2 linked regions of the Bombyx mori genome follow. The protein of the gene in region 2 interacts with the protein of the main gene of each other region in a pairwise test. Links are inferred from orthologs where the notes say so. Each region holds a gene or a part of one and is shown on either strand. Other genes may lie near its edges.

What was found.
Region 1: the proteins of AP-3 complex subunit delta (region 2) and vesicle-associated membrane protein 7-like interact in a two-hybrid assay, tested with the Homo sapiens proteins (2 studies listed by BioGRID and IntAct). The link is inferred for Bombyx mori from reciprocal best matches to the Homo sapiens genes AP3D1 and VAMP7.

What each region holds. Positions count from the first base shown.
Region 1 is NC_085119.1:6,315,025-6,319,443, forward strand, and holds the start of vesicle-associated membrane protein 7-like, read right to left. Parts: upstream 2,998-4,419; 5' UTR 2,808-2,997; coding exon 2,604-2,807; intron 1,763-2,603; coding exon 1,579-1,762; intron 891-1,578; coding exon 832-890; intron 1-831. UniProt on the Homo sapiens protein: Involved in the targeting and/or fusion of transport vesicles to their target membrane during transport of proteins from the early endosome to the lysosome. Required for heterotypic fusion of late endosomes with lysosomes and homotypic lysosomal fusion.
Region 2 is NC_085121.1:9,311,872-9,315,701, forward strand, and holds part of AP-3 complex subunit delta, read left to right. Parts: intron 1-1,581; coding exon 1,582-1,783; intron 1,784-2,852; coding exon 2,853-3,024; intron 3,025-3,702; coding exon 3,703-3,830. UniProt on the Homo sapiens protein: Part of the AP-3 complex, an adaptor-related complex which is not clathrin-associated. The complex is associated with the Golgi region as well as more peripheral structures.

The sequences.
Region 1 (4,419 bases), on a different chromosome or scaffold from region 2:
ACCACCACACTGCCTATTTCTGCCGTGAAGCAGTAATGCGTTTCGGTATGAAGGGTGGGGCAGCCGTTGTAACTATACTGAGACCTTAGAACTTAAATCTCAAGGTGGGTGGCGCATTTACGTTGTAGATGTCTATAGGCTCTAGTAACCACTTAACACCAGGTGGGCTATGAGCTCGTCCACCCATCTAAGCAATAAAAAAATAAAAAACTTGATTTGGTAATAGATTTTGTTTATACGAGTCATCTATTATCAAAGGTGGCAATCTGTGCATTTGGACAAAAAAATGTTATTGATATGTCAATACAGATTGATTTGAATATAATCGTCTCCTTCAAAGAATACGGTTCAAAACCTGCTTAAATAAAGGTTAATACTTAACCTGTTATTTATCTAAGATGTCGTGCAGAAGAGTTTTGTGACTGCCAATGGAATACAAAGTCAATAATTCGTTTTTCTGATTTACCAATAATTGTCCAAAAGTCACATTGCCGGCTTTGATAATAGTCGACTCATACATACTATTTAATAGGTATTCTGTGAATTTTTTTCCATTTAAAATGTTGAAACTGATAGTCTTTTTTTCCGCCGCATTCATACATCCGGCAGAGACATTTATAACGAGCGAAACTAAATAAAATCAAAATTAAAGGCAACCCCGTATTTCTCCCGCGGAGCAGTAAGGATCCCCGTTTGAAGGGTGGTCCTTGTTATACTGTAGAACAGAGTTAGAAATCATGTCTCGAGACAATGGCATTTACGTTATTCATGCTTATGAGAGAAATAGCTAATGACTATATTTTGTAGGCTTAATGTCTTATGTAAACTTACACTGTACGATAAACTATCGATGCTATCAACTAAAAGCATTTTCTCGCCGAGAATTGTTTCTGAAAAGAAAAAAAAACTAATTTAAAATTAAATGTAGTTTAAGAACCCGTACGTTCAATTACAAACCGTACCAACAAATAATTTTATCTTTATTTTGTACCTTTTTTGAATACCGGTCAGGATTTCAGAGCGATTAGAGCAATTAAAATTATTGTTTAGCTAACGGTCCTTCATTCGTGTACAAACTTTCTGATTAGTGGTCGGTACGTCTTAAAATCGATGCAAATCACATTATAAAGAAGACATACAAACATACATACGTATAATTGGAATTTAATTGTTATTATAAAAAAAATATAGACACATTTTTTAGATATTGCTGCTTTCATCGACCTCGCCATGTTGCCATTTTGTTTTATTATTATTTCTCTCTTTCTTACAAATTTCTCTCACTCACACCTTAACACTCCGTTCCACGCTCTTTCCATACGTTCCGTTCTCAACCATCCTACATATTTACCAAACTATTTAATAAATAACTAAAAATTTATTGACACATTTTTTACACATCGCTCACTTCATCGTCCTCGCGGTCTTGCTTTTTTTATTATTATTTCTCTCTATTTCTCACAAATTTCTCTCACTCACACCTTAACACTCCGTTCCACGCTCTTTCCATAGGTTCCGTTCTTAACCATCCTACATATTTACAAAGCTGTTTAATAAAAAATGTTTAAAAAAACTTACCACTCCTTTCAACGCTGATCCTGTTCAATTCATCCAGTTCGCCATTTCTTATAACTATAGTACTGTAATCTTCATTGTATCGGTACATTTCCTCTGCCAGTATATGTTCGAAATTTTTTACGTATTCAGCAAATCGTCTCTGGATTTGATTTAAGAATAAAAATGCCCTTGATCTCTGACAGCTCTGTTAAGAAAATACATTTGATTTGAAGACTATAGAAAAAATATTTACATAATTCTGACTTAAGCTAACATAAGGGAACTTTATGCGAATAACGACGTGTGCTTCTCTCATATTTAACAGAAAATCTTTACACAATCTTGCACATACAGAAATATGTAAATAAAGTTTCTTCAATTTTCAACTGACGTATATGTTTAGTTTCAATATTCAACCTATTTAATAAGTGGCAATCGTTCGTCCAAATTTTCTCTGTGCTATGTGTTCAGAAGATATATGGGACAACAATAAGTGCACCAGATCGAATAACTAATATCTTTAAGAAATTTATTGACGAGAACGAAATAAAAAAAAAACAAGTTTTAAACACCGGCCACAATAAAAATGAGATATTTTCGTTTTATACTATTCGTTTTTTTTTCTACCTATTCTAGTAACCTCGAGGGGCTATTCTAGATTCAGTAAGTGAGCTCACGGGGCTCAACCGGAAGTGTTGCTAACACTGGCCCTAGCAAGAGCAGTGCTTCGCAGAATCTACCACCGGATCGGAAACGCGACCCACTGAGAAGATCCGGCGAGAAACTCAGTGGGCTGTGTCTGTGGGTTAATTTACTCGTCGAGCCCTTCGTCGCAAGCGACGGGTTCGGCGAGGACGGTGACCGGTGCTTGAGGTACCTAAAAGCACCGTTAATGGATCGGGAGGATCCGTAATGACGTGTTTTGAGCAATTCGAATGTATTGGACGACATTATCAATGAACTTTCAGAACAATATTTATATTCTATTTTTTCATGTATGTTTTTTAACTTGTAAGAAGTCCTTTTCAAACGAAATCGTAACTTACCTTTTCTGTAATACAAAGAAATATATTTTTCTTGTGAACAACATAGTGAATCAAATATTTTCCGTGAAGGTACGTCATCTTGTGATCATGTACCGGTATTTTTGAGACCATTCGTTCGGATATCTCCACGAAGTTACCATCGCAGGTTGCGAATTTCGAAACGACTCGTTTATCACACGCTATCACACTGAATAATATAGGCATTATAAATATGACTACAAATTATTATCACTGTTCACACCATTTGACGCTTTCACTATTATTATCAGTTTCAATAATTTTTTTGAAGAATATTGTTTAACTGCTGCATTACAAGAGTACAAACCGCAACTATACGATGTGGCGTCCTCTCGATCCGCCCACGGTTTAAAGATTTTGAATGTCCAAACGCAATGCGTTAAGGATGTCATTCGTTTTTTGACGGAAATAAAACAGATCTAGTCACATTAGCCAGTGTTCTCTGTATTTTGTTTAACCGATGCGATATCAAGACTCTGGTAACCTTTTGTTACCAAATGGACCGACGTGTGCGCAAAAATGTTCATTATAAAACAGATTTGTTTAATCTGTGCATGCATTATTCTTCAAATTTAATTCAACAAAATATTCATTGGTTTTGTTTAAAGAAAAAACCCAGTAATACAAGACTTGTATTTGTTTGTGTCTAAAAATATAAGAGGAATTATCTTAAAAACTGAAAATTTGGTCTTGTTGCTATGACAAGAGTCCGCGATATCTATATATTAATACGTGAAGCAAAAACTTTGTATCCCTTTTTACGAAAATTGCGCGGACGGAGGAGTATGAAATTTTCCACACTTATAGAGAATATAGAGAAGAAGTGCACAATGCTAATATTTTTTTAAAATAATGCATAAAAGATACATTAAATCAATAAAGAAAACATTACACACACTACATACCATGTATTTGACGCACACACGCATGCATACTATTTATTGTCCAACTTTTGTTCTTGACCTCTGTTGTCAGATTGAGAATAGATTAAATATTGTTAGTCTTTGTTAATATTTTTTATAGTGTAGTCTTGGCGAAATTTGTGACTATAGAAGTATAAAATACAATAATAATAGTGTACAAACTTACAATTCCAATTAATTATAGTCGAATTTCGACTACTGCGGGACCTCTAGTATTAATAAAATCACTTGCTTACAGTAAGTCGGTTAAGTGTAGTATATTCTATGCCAATAAGACAATAACTGTGGCCAACATTTAGTATGCTGCTGCCAGATGTTGATAGAATTAGGGGACGCGATACTAAATCTACTTATGAAGGAAAAATGTTTCCTTTATTAAAAATAATGGAATGAAATCTTCCTCGAAGCAACATATACTACAACAACGCGAACAATAAAACACACATTAATAATTTATTAAGCTAAGCTTATCTACATTGGCGGATTTTTTAATTTATAACATTCTTTCGTGACATTCGTATACCAAAAACAACTGAAAAAAAATCAAAATAATCATGTTATTATGAATCACCAGTATCACTTTTGTTTTTCATCTTCAAGAACAAACAAACACCTCCTTTTTACCATAAGGATATGGATTGTTACCGATATTTTTACATACCTACTTGATGCTTGTGGGTTACAGAAAAAAAAAAACGAGAAAATCGAACGTTTGACAACCCTGCATTGAAAAATTCAGTATCGCACAAATATCACACGATCGTTCTAAAATAAATTTCCGTGTCGGCCGAAGCTAAAATCGTTTCGTGCTCGCTAAAACTGTCACCGTACATAAATTGATCAGTTTTAAGAGACATGTGCAGACAAGCGTGCCA
Region 2 (3,830 bases):
TTTTTGTGATTCTGTAGTGCTTACAGTTCTTTCGTCCTTTTTTATTTCTCTATCTTATTCTAATAACTTTCAGCGCCTTTTTTAAAATTTACCCGGTTGCTACTGTAGCGCCATCCTTATTTAGCAGATTTTCACGGACACTTTTTATACACAGAGACGGTTCTCCTTATTCTACCCTCCATAAAAGGTAGGTACTCACTGTTCCATATTTCAAATAAGAACCGTTAATATTGTTTGTCCATCCGTTTTGAAACTACGTTGCCACAGACACAAGTAAAGCTCTCAAACTTATACAGTTCCACACTATTTTTCTATCTGTGGTTAAAAATAATGACATACTTATTTGTGTTTTAATTAGTTTTCTAAGCCGTTTTTTTAACTTATGCGAATACCCTATCGATAATATCCCGCCCCGTTTTAAAACACATTTACTAATGTCGATGGGCCCCCTGTTTTTGTTTGTCTATCCTTGAGCTTAGTTTTACGCAGCTACCGAAAACTAAATTATGTCACTGTACAAACCTATTCTATAGTGGTGGTAGGAATGTTAGTCCACGCGGGTCAGTACCACTGTCCTGTCTATTTCAGCAATCATGGGTCGCGGCTTGAAGGTCAAATTCTCTTGGGCGTCAAACAATTGAGACCTGTGTGGTCGAACGTATTTTATGGTTGTGGTGGCTCATGTACCGTAGGTTGGGGGGAATTGGGACCCTTTCCAATTCCAACGAAAAATTTCAATGGTTTTTCTTAGGGTAAAATCAATAAAATTGAGATTAAAATGGCTCCGGGGCTTTAATTTTTTATATACGATGCATTATTATACATAGTTTTACATAGTTCATTACAAAATATACACAAAAACTTAAAAAACTAGTTTGACCCGATACATCTTGGCTTTGGGGTGAATCAGGTTACTTATGGGGACAATAGAGTTTTCCGATAGGGGTGGCACTATTTAGTTCTAAGGTAGGTACCTAACTTTAGGTAATTAAGTTTTTAATATATTTAATGAGCTACAAAACTTTGATGACTAAATTAAACAGTTTAATATTCTTTCTAACACTAAATAAAAGTCATTTTCAGTTCAACAAATTTAAATCTAACAACTCAACAAAAGTATTGTGACATCCCAGATTTGTCCCTATTCTAACTCTAGTCCCTATTCCCCCAATCTACTGTAATTGATTAGCAACAGGGCATGAAATTTTCACGTCAATAATATTGCATAATTGTATTCAGAAACATATGAATATTATCTATTATCTATATATATAAAAATGAATTGATGTTCGTAAGTCTTGCTAAAACTCGAGAACGGCTGGACCGATTGGGCTAATTTTGGTCTTGAATCATTTGTGGAAATCCAGAGAAGGTTTAAAAGGTAGATAAATATGAAAATGCTCGGAATTAAATAAAAATAACAATTTTGTTTTTCCTTTGATGTGTCCCCCGTCGGACGGATTCATTTTGTTTGTTTTAAGTTTATTTTACACAAAAGTTTAGGTCTTTTACTTATCGATTGAGGCACTACGAAGTCTGCCGGGTCAGCTAGTGAGAAATAAAATTGATTCGCTGTTTTAGGTGTCCAAGAAAAATTTAATGGAAATAGTGAAGAAGTTGATGTCGCACATGGAACGTGCCGAGGGGACGTTATACCGGGACGAACTGCTGACCCGGATGATCGAGATCTGTTCTCAAAACAACTACCAGCACGTTGTGGATTTCGAGTGGTACATCACGGTACTGGCAGAGCTTACCGAAATGGAAACCAGTGCTAAACATGGCAAGGAATACTTACAGTTTTATTAGTGTATAATATATTGCTTAGATGGGTGGACAAGCTCACAGCCCATCTGGTGTTAAGTGATTACTGGAGCCCATAGACATCTACAACGTAAATGCGTCACCCACCTTTAGATATAAATTCTAAGGTCTCAAGTATAGTTACAACGGCTGCCTCACCCTTCAAACCGAAACGCATTACTGCTTCACGGCTGAAATAGGCAGGATGGTGGTACCTGCCAGTGCAGACTCACAAGAAGTCCTACCACCAGTAATTATAATTTAACTGGTTTGATTTTTATTACACGATGTTATTCCTTCACCGTGGAAATCAATCGTGAACATTTGTCGAGTACGTATTTCATTAGAAAAATTGGTATCCGCCTGCTGCATTCGAACACCGGTGCATCGCTCAACACGAATGCACCGGACGTCTTATCCTTTAGGCCGCGACGACTTAAACTCAATCAATTGATCAAATCAGAAATGAGGAGATTCGCAGGAAAACCATGGTAACCGACATAGCCCAAAGGATTGCGACATTGAAGTGGCAGTGGGCAGGACACATTGCTCGTAGAACGGATGGCCGTTGGGGCCAGAAAGTTCTTGAGTGGCGACCGCGTACCGGAAGACGTAGCGTGGGTAGGCCCACAAGATGGACCGACGATCTATTGAGGTTCGCGTGGATCCGCTGGATGCAGGCAGCGCAGGACCGGTCTTTGTGGCGAGGCTTGGGGGAGGCCTATGTCCAACAGTGGACGTCTGTGGGCTGATAAGAAGACTTAAACTTTTGTTCGTATCGACGCTTGAAAGACAAACGTGACTAAGCGACAATGCGTGAACTTTACAGTAGACTAATTTAAAGTTGAAATACCTGAAAAAAATTATATTTTAACGAATCTAGCTGTAGGATTGAAATGATTTTAATAGACCTAGAAATATTTTTTTTGCGCATCGAATATGGTTATTGCCTATCATTTATGTACAAATTATTGTCGCTTAGTCACGTTTGCCTTTCAAGCGTCGGTATATTTTGTGGTGTTCGTTAAACCTCGCAATGTATTGTGTAGGGTGTATAATAGCGGCGCAGCTGACGGAGGTGGGCGCGCGCGTGGCGGACGTGCGACCGTTCGCGGCGCGGGAGTGCGGCGCGCTGTGTGCGCGGGTGGCCGCCGCGCCGCCCGGCCCCGCCTCCCGCGAGGTGCTCTACGCCGCCGCCTACGTGCTGTCCGAGTACTGCGAGTTAGTTCGTTTTACTGTTTCACATAGATATACATACATACGACCTAAAGTTATTTAGTATAGTAATTTAGACGAAAACGATGCTATTGCATGATCGCCTGTTAATCAGAAATCGCGACTTCGAGATATTCGCGGTAGGCAGCGGCTTGGCTTTGCCCCTGGCATTGCTGAAGTCTTTGGGCGACGGTAACTACTCACCATCAGGTGGGCCGTATGCTCGTTTGCCTACCATGGCATTAAAAAAAAAATTCGGGTCAATGCTTATTACTTTTTCTATATGATTTGAAAAACTAATTAATTTTACGTAATATTTCAGTATCCAAGAATAAACCTATATCACGATTTATTCTTGGATACTGAAATATCTGTGTAGCTATGTAACTGTGGTACCCTTGATCCACACCCTAAGTTACCTAGTTTAAGCAACATTTCGCTTAATACGCGATATTTATCTGCAATTATTAAAGGCGCGTTTTATTTGTTATTCAACAATTCGATATTTTTAATTGGACTTCAATTAAATTTATGAAATACAAATGGCTGAAGATGGTTTTATGTAATGACATTTTTTTTTCAAAATTTGAAATTTTAAATAATTCTCCTGTAAAGTTGCAAAGTTTTTGCATAAAACCATCCTTTCCTTTTTTTGTCATTCACCCCTCGATATGTAATCAACAGGGAAGAGGAAGTGATGCTGAACGCCGTGTCCCCGCTGCTGGCGTGCGCGGGCGTGGGCGGCGGCTACATGCGGGCGCGCGCCGTGTGCGTGCACGCCGCGCTCAAGCTGTGCGCACGTTTGCTGCGGG